Astyanax mexicanus: one gene and its partners. The protein of the gene in region 2 purifies or fractionates together with the protein of the main gene of each other region. This does not show direct contact. Links are inferred from orthologs where the notes say so. Each region holds a gene or a part of one and is shown on either strand. Other genes may lie near its edges. The genes, in order: golga5, slc6a15 and klhl36.

Region 1 (3,757 bases), on a different chromosome or scaffold from region 2:
TCAAATAGCAAACATGTCCTACGTTACTGACTACATTTAAACAAATTTGGGTGTATTTTTGCTGAACAATTTGTTTAACTGTAGCTGCACTGCCAAAAACAGATGATGTAATCGCTTTACTAAGACTGCATAACCTGGCTCTGATGTAGGAAGATTAATCAGAACTATACACACAGCAAGGAAAAGACATAGAAAATGTATCTCTTTGGGTCAGGTTTTGGACTAAACTGCTGGTTATGCATGGTGGTACCTTGGCTGAAGTCTCGGGCAGAGCCGTCCTCAGTCTTGGCACTGTGCGTGCTGGCGCTGAGTGAGCTGAGGCTGGAGTTTCTGGACAGACCCCGTGTAGAAGGTGGGGTAGCTGGTGTCGAGGGGACACCCTGGGGAGCGGCAGTGACTGATCCAGCCATTACCTGTCCCTGAGCCAGACCTTCCATGCTCATCACACTGGACGATGTATCTCTCCTAGACTCCATTCTCTCACTTTGTGGTGGATCTGAGCTGTTCAGGAAGTCAAATAGGAGATCATCATCCACCTCAGGTTTTTTGGGCCTGACAAAATTGGAGGAGGCTCTAACAGAAGAGCTGCCACTGCCGGAAGGGGCAGAGCCCAGCTGAGTTGAGCTGTACACATTGGAAGTGCCGGCGAGCACAGTGGCTTTGGATTTCTTAATGTTCCCAGCTGCTGCAGAGATAAATCCATGTGTCTCCTGGTTGGAGGATGGACCAGGGTACTCATGCTGGGGCTGAAAAGAAGCCCTATAGCCTGCGGAACCCTGCTGAGCAAGAGGGTCAACAGAGTCCTCAGGGCTGTAGGATGACAGGGAGGATTTTCGAGTCGAATTTTTGGTCAGAGCTGTGGCTGCTCCCTGGTCCACTTTGTTTAAGAAGTCCTCGGCTCGGCCTGCCAGATCAGTGAACCAAGACATCCTGAGGGCTGAGAAGACAATAATTTGTGGTTACCAGACAAAGCCCGATTCTAATACTTGCATATTCTCTGATTCTTGTTAAACCTGCTACGTTTTAAAATGAGATGTTTTGCAATTACCTTTAGCAGCTAAAAGCAAGCCATCATGATTATGTCATCATCATCATGTCCTGTCTGTTAAATTGTCTCATCTGCTGTATTTATTGTAGTGTTATAGTTTTTCTGTTGCACTTTTTCGTACACTCTTTCACTTAATGTTTGTCTATTGTATTGTTGTTCTATGTTGCATCATGGTTCCGGAGAAACAGAGTTTCGTTACACTGTTTATCTGTACTCAGGTGTAATGACAATAAAAGCCTCTTGACTTGACTTGACATATTAACTAAGCCATTTGAAATGCATTGTTTTGTGATGTCAGAAAAAAACAACAAATTTACATGTCTCCAATGATTCAGCCAATCCCTTATTAGGTTTTACCATTGTTATTCTGATCTGTTTCAGCCTGGCTACATTTCTAAATGAGGCACAATACACTACAGCCAATCACTACAACTTACACATCAAAATATTCTCTATACTTATTGGTCAGAACTTTATAGGGCGGGACCAAGAAAGTAAATACAGGAAGAAGGTCCTGCCTCCTGGATCAGTGCATAATTCTGTGTAGTTTAACATGGAGCAAGATTTGTAACGTATTACATAGCTGTAGGAATTATCTACAGCTTTACTTTAAACTTTTAGAGTACACCTGACAACAGAGCTAAAAAATATTTTTGTTTGAACTTACTTGTCTAAGGAAGCTAAAGAACTAAAGAAAAAATATTAATAAAAATGAGAAGGTGTGTTGAACTTTTGCCTGATACTGTATATAATAACATAACATTAAGGCACTTATTCAAGCTGCCATTCATTTATCCTCTTGATAAAACTAAACAGATTTGTTGAACACCTGTCAACCTGTTTTAAACGACCTCTTACCAGTCATTACCCTCATTCAACACCACAGCCCTTACTGTTTCTTACATAATAAGAGTCCCTTGTCCTACCAATACAGTAACATAATTATCCATTATGATCTATTTGACTTGTCAAGTAAATAGCTACAGTATACAGAAGGTCGTTTATATCTTGGCTAGATAGGTTAGCTAAATCTGAATATATGATGTAGGCACACCCAAACCAGTCTAATTACAAGCTAGCTAAGGGTTAACAGGATTGTTCTGATTGTGCCATGGCACAACAGGACTCTTTAATCAATAACTAAGCAAACAATCAATATATCCAACTAGCTAAGCTGGCTAAATAACTAAACTCTAACGAAGAAATGGGGCAATCCTTCCAAAAACAGTTAATAATAAACATAATTTAAAAAAAAGTATTAGCTACATTAGCTAGCTAGGTTAACTACTCAACATACCAGCATAAACACTGTTAAATTACGATAACTTTAACAACTATAGAGTTAAACAATAGCTAGCTACTGTGTTTTATGACTTCATATTCAACAAATAAACGGCAGCAGCTTTAGAAATATAACGTTAGCTAAACTAGTTATAGTAGGTGAACTTGGTAAACAGAGCAGTCAGGGAGTCTTAGCCTAGCCTGGTTTAGCTTTAGCTTAGCTTCCCTCAGTGATGTGGATATTAAATGGTTTAATGTCGTACCTGAAGTGTTTCAGTTTATCTGAAGAGAGAGGCAGAACTCGTTTAAAGGCATTTTTCTCCAATAACTCGGGACCCAGCCCCACCCACTGTTATCCGCGGAACTCTGACAACAGCCAGCGCTAATGTTGTCATTCCTCTCCTATCAGCATCAGCTGAAATCCGGCTCTACGTGGCCCAGAGACGCGTTAAAGGACCGGAGCTCAGAGTGTGTTTACCGGGCAGGCAGAGCGCTGCTGCCCCCTACTGCTGCTGCCTAACCAGCTCCACCAACCAACACCACTCTAACACAGCAAAAATGCATTTAAAATTGCTAAGGAGATTTTTATAGTTAACTTTGTGTTAAAAGTTTTTTTTTCCTCAAAAATATTAAAGTTGCAAATAAATCGCAGATTTTATACAAATAAAATGAGCAGAAACAAACGAAGAGATTCCAAAAGCAGACAATATCTACAAAAATAGAAAGAAAATCGAAAAAGATTTTTTAAATTACCTTTTTTATTACAAATTTCAAGTGTTTGATATAAAGTGGTGACATCATGTAAAAAAAATAAGCAAGATTCTAATGCTAGCCATGACTAATTAAGGCGTGGGAACAAGATCCTTATGTGTGGAAATGAGATAATTAAATTGTGGCCATGACCTATTAAGATGTGGGAATGAGATAGTAGCCAGAGAATAATAAAGCTTGCTTTTCTGTAAATTAATGCCAATGAAGAAGACTGAATATTACATCAAAGCTCCAATTCAAGAATAATCTTTTGTAAGAAAATGGAGAGTGAATTGGTTTCTTGTTCCCACGCATTAGGATCTCGTTCCTTCGCCTAAATAAGTTGTGACCATGCATTATTTTTTTAACATGATGCTCCGCAGTTTGAACTTGGTGTGACTGGTGGATTAATACTTGGCCCCTCTATGAATGTTGTGGCCCCTTACTGTACAAATCCTAGATAAAATAATATAAAATACTCATGTGTTAATTTTTCTCAACATAAAACGATATCAAATGTTTCAGCGTTTTTTAACGCTTTAAAACCCCAAATGTATACATCTGAACTCAGTGTTCTAGCTGTTACTTCATCATGAGCTCACCAGCAAAATTAGCTCATAAGTTAGTTAGCATTAGCCGTAATGCTAGCGTCTTCACTGCATAAAACCCGTTTTCTGT
Region 2 (3,757 bases):
CATCAACATATGGTAATGTCATCTAGTGATGGTAATGACAGGTTTTTGTTTACCCTGTTTCGGTTAGTAATTAGTTAAACATATTACTAAATACATCAGCAGATCTTTAGAGATTACCAATAAAAATCAAGGGAAAAAAGTAAACTACCGGTATATGGAATTAGGCTGTGTATTGGTAAGAAGTTTGCGATACAATGTGTATCATGATACAGGAGTTACTATTCGATCAATTACGAGATACAATGATACTATACACAATAATGTGTACTGCAATTGTTAAAAATTCAACTTTATAAAAAAAAAAAACAGTGAAGCTGTGAGATCAGACTTGGCCATTGCTCATATCTGTTTTAAAGCATGAAGCTATACATTGTCCCAACATAACATTGTGTCTCCATTTTATAAGTAATGTATGTGTACACATCAATACATAATGTGTATTTGGCAGTAGTTCCTTACATTCTTTACATCAAAACTTAATTATGAATAGACTAAAAAGAAAGCATGTGTTTTTGTGCTTCACATTTTAGCCTACATTGTCCTAACATAGCATAATTAAAACAAAAGTATTGCCTTTTTTTATTAATGGTGAAAAATTATACACACACATAATATAATATATCATATATACACACACAATTAGAGATTGGTGATTAGGTGATGCAATACAGAAACTAGTTTCACAATGCTCAACACAGCACAGTGTACCAGCATGTGTACACATTTGTATCTGGCAGTTGTTTTTTACATTGTTTCAAAATTTAATGATGAATGGACTAAAAGAAATGCTCCAAAATGAACTGTAACAGAATATTTTTTTACTAAACATATGTAGCTAAACATTGAGTAAAGTGAAAAGTGTTGTTTTATTTTATAAACTACAGACAACATTTTTCCCAAAGTTCAAATAAAAATATTGTCATTTTGAGTATTTATTTGCAGAAAATGAGAAATGGCTGAAATAACAAAATAGATGCAGAGCTTTCAGACCTCAAATAAAGCAAAAAAAAAAAACAAGTTCATATTCATAAAGCTTTAAGCACAACTGGAATAACTCTGGTTTTTAATCACAGTTTAATAACAGTTAACAATGTTTCATCTTGGCATGATCTCCTTCACCAGTCTTACACACTGTTTTTGGATAACACTCCTGGTGCAAAACTTCAAGCAGTTTAGCTTGGTTTGATGGCTTCTAATCATCTATTTTCCTCTTGATTTTATAGGTTTTCAATTTGGTAAAATCAATGAAACTTATCATTTAGTGATCTATATATATATATACACACATATATATACATATATATATGTATATATATATATACATACATATATATATATATATATATATATATATATATATATATATATATATATATATATATATATATGTATATATATATGCAATAGAGTATAGGTGATGCAATAGAGTAATTCGTTTCACAATGCTCAGCACATCAGCTGGATCAGTATTCATGCATTCAATATATGATGTCTTCAGATCACAGCACAGCCTACCGACATCCCCAGTTATGCAATCACGACTACTTGTCAGATATCTGTCCGGTTGACCTATTTAATCGCGAGCTTTGCTCTGAAACGATCCTCTTTCTTTCCCCTGCGCTCTGATGATACCGGAGCCCACAAGCACGAGGTTCATTTGCATAAGAACCCAAACACTGCTCAGCATCGCTCAGCGGCCAATCTGAGAAGCGCACCGTGCTCAGACCCTCACTGATACACTGTTTTACTGTTTCTGGGGAAAAGCGGATCACACACACCTGCTACACCGATCTTTTACCATCTAGAGCTAAAAGTAGGCTAACCCCGTGATTTTACAGCGGTGAAGTGTGTTCAAAAAACACACACGGCAAATTGCTGCTACCCTCCATAGCAGCTTACAGAGCTCATCACCAGGATTAGCCTTCACTAAACGCGTTTCCTTTATACACATTTATACACAAAGTAGCAAAATATTAATATAAGAATATCACCTTAAATATTGTAAAATCTAATTCATGTTTAAACACAAATGAAAACACTGCTACATAAGCTTTAAATCAAATTGTAGAGGGTCGTCACTAAAATAACCTAGCTAGAAATGGTTTCACCATATGGAGCTCACCATCATTCAATTTCTATAGCACACAGTCATCGCAGGTTAACTAGCGTTATAGTGGTAGCTATAGGTAAGGTTGCTGGTTGAATTTATATAGCAAGTATTAAAATAATCAACATTTCATTCATTTTTTTAATAAAAAGCGATTTTTTTGAAGAAGAAAATAATAGTTATTTCAGATATATGCATTTTCTTTCCAAATGGGTTGAAGAAGAATTAATCAGATTCCCCGCCCAAATTCCCTGTGCCATCCATGTGGCGTATTTCATCATACACTGTGCACTGACTGCACTGTGAGGCTGGCTGGCTGCTGGCGCATCCTTCCCCCTCTGTACAAAAAAAATCACGAGAAAACAGATATTCTTACCTTCCCGGGTTAAACAAAACGTGTTCAATAAGTGTAACGGCTTCCTTTAGCCCGTAATAAGTATTTATATTATATTTAGTGAAATCTGCGGGAGCCGGTCAGCATTACGCATCTCTCCTCCTGTATCTAATTCTAATGATTCCGCCGGTGCTGCTCACAAGACGCTTCGCCTTCAGTGACATTCATTCAAACGGATATGCTGAGGGGGGAGCGGGCTTTCAGCAGCGAACCACAAACCAACAGCCTGCTGATTTAAAATATTTTACAAAAGGTAAAACACGTTTAATGTATTGAATTACCTTAAAAACGAATTTTAAATTACAATTTAAGTTACGTTAAACGGGGCAAAATGGATCTCCCAACATCCCTCCCCCCTTACTAAAGCGAGTGGTTCAGTCTACTACATGGTGCACACGCTAAGATGGTTCATGTGGGTGGATTTCGCTCTCGAGGCCATGCACGCGATATCCCGCCTTTCTCTTATAATATATGTATCAGTAAATGTATCAAATGACGTGTGTTCTATATCTAACGACCATGAGTATCGCATTTATTTACCCATGTAAATATAATTAATATTAAAAAATACAGTCAATATAATAACCTACATATTTTGCAAGAATGACCGGTAACCTATTGCAAGTCTGATTATATATGGTGTACTGTTGCTTTATGCGCTCTCTCTCTCACCCCCTCCATCTCTCTCTCACACACACACACACACACACACACACACACACACACATACACTCATTCACTCCCTCATTTACAAATGCTGGTCATTCTGATTAGTAAGCCTGTATAATGTATTGATATAAGCGTTCTCTATATTTAATCAAAATTTGTTTGTGCCACAAGCTCCACTGTTTCACAGTTTTGCCCCCAGCAACCAGATCAAACCTAAGCGAGCTCCAATATTGATTTAGTCTGAGAGTGCATTTCAGATCTATGTGGGACAGCCACTCTGTCCTATAGTATAAGCCTCTAATTATATATATATAGCTCTGGAAAAAAAATAAAGAGACTACTTCAGTTTCTGAATCAGTTTGTCTGATTTAACTATCTATAGGTATATGCTTGAGTAAAATGAACATTGTTGATTTATTATATAAACTACGGACATTTATTTAACTATCTATAGGTATATGTTTGAGTTAAATGAACATTGTTGATTTATTATATAAACTACGGACATTTTCCCCAATTTTCAAACAAAAATGTTGTAATTTAAAGCATCTATTTGCAGAAAATGAGAAATAGCTGAAATAACAAAA
Region 3 (3,757 bases), about 3.9 Mb from region 2:
TCTCATTATTTTGAAATGCTAAGTCATTATTGATAGTATTTTGGGATACTATTTTATTATTTTGAGATACTAAGTCATTATTGTGAGATACTAAGTTATTATTTCAAGATGCTATTCCATTATTTTGATATTTTATTACTTTGTGATATTAAGTATATTTTGAAACAAGTTATTATTTTGAGATACTAAGTCATTATTTTAAAATAGTAAGTTATTATTTTAAGATGATATCTCATTATTTTGATACACTTTGTCATTATATTGAAATGCTATCTTATTATTTTGAAATACATTACTTTATGAAAAGTCATTATTTTGCAGTACTAGTCATTATTCTGAGGTGCAATTTTGAAATACTAAGTCGTTATTTTAAAATGCTATTTTGATATACTATTATATTAAAATATTAAGCCATTATTTCGAGATGCTCTCATTGTTTTGATAAGGCGTTATTTTGAGATGTGATAATTTTGAGATGTTATGTCAAGATTTTGAGATGCTTTCTCATTATGTTTAGATGCTGTCATTGTTTTGAGATGCTAAGTCGTTATGTTGAGATGCTTTTTCTTATCTCATTATTTTGAAATGCCATCTATAATAAAATACACCTGGCAGTTTACTGCAGAATTCTGTACACTGATTTTTTTTTTCATTTTCAGTTATTACATGACGTGAAGAGCTTAAATGGCAAAAAACACATTTGTATTCTTGTACTGAGTTTTAAGGTGTAGAAAGGGACGTTTAAATATTTTTAATAAATAAAATAATTATTATGGAGGGTATTATTAATTTTTCAAATATGTAATGCAATTCAAAAATGAAGGTTTATCCAGGGTTCTTGGATGTGAGTGATGTATCTGTGGATTACACTGGTGAGATTTGATCCACGTTAATAGTCTTTGTTGTACAATGCATGTCAGTGTGTCAGGGGTGGGACTTTTATTATGAAAAGTAGCTATAGGTTCCAAAACGAGGTAGCTGGGCTAGCTAAAGTGTAGAAGTGAGTTTCACTGGTCCTGAAGCTTTTCACGAGCGAAACTGTTAATAATAATTAACCTACAGCGTTTTTCGAGCTCTTCGGGAAGACAATGACACAATGGTAAAATTATCTCGTCTTCTTATTAGCTGGTTGTCATCACAGAAAGATGAGAAGAATCGCTGCAGATTTGTCAGGCTAGCGAACTATTGTAGTGCCTGTGTGTGAGGCTCTGTTATTCCTAGTGTTATTTTTCCTGATTTAACTTTCCAGTGAGAATAATAGTTAGTTAAGTAACACAGTTTCTGTTTTATCGCAGAGTATAGTGTGTTCTAAATGCCGTAAGCTTGCACATTTCTTCTTAATTCTTTAAATTAAGTTTCTGTGTCAATAAAAACTGTTTTAATGTGCCTGTCTTTAGCCAGCTAGCCATCGACTTTACTCTCAGCAGGTCTGCAGAAATCTTGTTTTAAAGGGACAAAGATTTTAAACTATTTTTTTAAACCCTACAGTGTGGACAGTTTTAGTTTATTGCATTAAGTATGTATAACAGGTATTGTAGGAATTGTATATCTATATTACCGGGCATTCGGTCGACTGTAAGTTTAGTAACTAGTTAATAAACATAGCTTATAAACTGCTGGATGCCACTTTTCTGTCTATCACTCTTCTGTCTATCTCTTTGTCTCTCTGCCTGTCTATCTCTCTGTCTCTCTCTTTATCTCTCTCTCTGTGTCTCTCTCTATCTGTCGCTCAACGTTGATTTTATGTTTAAATCAACATTGGATTTGGTGTTGATTTTGAAGTGAATCAATGCTGTTATGGTCACCTTCTTTCAACGTCGTACGTTTTAGCTTAAAATTGTATGAATTATGAAAAAAAGTTTTATTTTAATTCTTGCTCTCTCTCTGCATATACATATCTGAGAAATAGGAACTGTACAACTACAAACAAAAAGCTTCAATTACTACAAGTGGCTAAAACTAAAAAGTCTTAAAGTTAAACTTACATCACTGTAGTAAAGCTGAGTATAAAGAATTTTACCCACTACTACCAATCTGACTGAACAGCTGATCTCAAAAACACAACAGTAAACATCAACATACCACCAGAATTGGTGCCAAACTAAAAAGCAATCACTACAAATAGAAGTAAATCACTTTTTCATCCCTTCATCCAGCTGTTTTTTGAAATTGTATGGTGATGAAATGTAAAATGCTAATTCAAAAGGTAGAATTAGATTGATTCAACAAATAAAACAACATGTAATGTTGTTTTAACATTGAAACAACAACAGACCTTTCTTCAGCCATATTTCAACCACATTTTAACGTTAAAGGTCGGTTCTCTCTCTTTCTCTCTCTCTCACTCTCAAACTCTCTCTGCATGTAGGAATACCTCATCTTCTCTTGTAGAAGTAGCTAATCCAAGTGTATTTCTTTCTATGATTGGTGTGTGGCTAAAGCTACACTACACAGACTCCAGTTGGTATATTTGTTTAATAAAAATGAATACTGTCCAATATTGTAATGTAATGTTATGTAGTTTTAAAACATACTGCTTCTACCCCTTTTTTAATTAAATATTAAATTTTAATAATTGAACATAAATTTACTAAAGGCACATTTAAAGAAATAAATGTTATTAAATGTAATTAACCGAAAAGTAAGTTCATACTATTTTCATTTGTTTTACATTAGAAAAAAAAAGTTTTCCTCAATCAGCTCAGAATGATTATGACAATTTGTATACTGATTCAGAATATTTAATGAGAAAACAATTTGTTTTTCCACCCCTCTATTTCACCTTCAGTTTGTCTATATGTTTGAGACTATTATATCGTTCTTTCACTTTGTAGATAGTTTTAGAGGGAGATGACATGATGGATGGTGGGAGGCAGGCTCGTCTTTCACGCCCACACAGAATCAGCGAGTCTTCAAAGGTGTGTGAAATCCTCCTCAGAAAGTGTGAAATGTTACAAATTTTAAAGCATTTTCATTAAATCTCATGTATCATGATTCTCCATCTGCTCGCATGTTATTTTTTTTAACAGGTTTATCGATGGCCAGACCAAGCTAGCTATCTCCTTCAGGGTTTGAATGAGCAGCGAGAGTGTGGTCAGCTGTGTGACGTGGTCTTGGTGGCCAATGACCAACGGGTGGCTGCGCACCGTGCCCTGCTGGCAGTTTCCAGTCCTTACTTCCAGGCCATGTTCACCCTCGGCATGCGGGAGGAGCGTCAAGCCGAGGTGGAGCTGGTTGGAGCCTCCTACGTTGGTGTGAAGGCAGTTGTGGACTTTTTGTACAGCGGTGAGTTGCCTTTGGATGGTGGGAACATTGACTATGTGCTTGAGACAGCTCACTTATTGCAAGTGTGGCAGGCAGTGGATTTCTGCTGCCAGTACCTGGAGAAGGAGGTAAGCGAGGAGAACTATCTATACCTTCAGGAACTGGCCTTACTTTACAGCCTAGACAGGCTGGATGCCTTCATAGACCACTTCATCCTGGAACGGTTCTCCACACTGTCTTTCACGCCTGAGTTCTTGAGGGATGTGCGTTTGTCCAAGCTGTGCTCATACCTGGCGAGTGAGCAGGTACAGAATGAGAGTGAACAGGCACTTCTTCAGGCTTCTTTGCAGTGGCTGACCCAAAGACCTGAGCGCTCAGCTTTCGCTTGCCAGCTCTTGTCCAACATTCGCTTTGCACTGATCCCTCTGGATGAGCTCATGGAACAGGTGTTGCCTGCAGTGCGCTCCCTGCTGCCTTCAGACTCTGGTTGCGA

What was found.
Region 1: the proteins of slc6a15 (region 2) and golga5 purify together in Homo sapiens (co-immunoprecipitation; 3 studies listed by BioGRID and IntAct, counting the BioPlex papers as one, with this or other methods). This does not show direct contact. The link is inferred for Astyanax mexicanus from reciprocal best matches to the Homo sapiens genes SLC6A15 and GOLGA5.
Region 3: the proteins of slc6a15 (region 2) and klhl36 purify together in Homo sapiens (co-immunoprecipitation; 3 studies listed by BioGRID and IntAct, counting the BioPlex papers as one, with this or other methods). This does not show direct contact. The link is inferred for Astyanax mexicanus from reciprocal best matches to the Homo sapiens genes SLC6A15 and KLHL36.

Annotation. Positions count from the first base shown.
Region 1 is NC_064414.1:7,827,816-7,831,572, forward strand, and holds the start of golga5 (golgin subfamily A member 5), read right to left. Parts: upstream 2,789-3,757; 5' UTR 2,593-2,788; intron 1,695-2,592; exon of another isoform or gene 1,049-1,694; intron 938-1,048; 5' UTR 930-937; coding exon 251-929; intron 1-250. UniProt on the Homo sapiens protein: Involved in maintaining Golgi structure. Stimulates the formation of Golgi stacks and ribbons. Involved in intra-Golgi retrograde transport.
Region 2 is NC_064416.1:21,350,922-21,354,678, forward strand, and holds the start of slc6a15 (sodium-dependent neutral amino acid transporter B(0)AT2), read right to left. Parts: upstream 2,678-3,757; 5' UTR 2,484-2,677; intron 1-2,483.
Region 3 is NC_064416.1:17,483,442-17,487,198, forward strand, and holds the start of klhl36 (kelch-like protein 36), read left to right. Parts: upstream 1-960; 5' UTR 961-1,096; coding exon 1,097-1,099; intron 1,100-2,834; coding exon 2,835-2,918; intron 2,919-3,029; coding exon 3,030-3,757.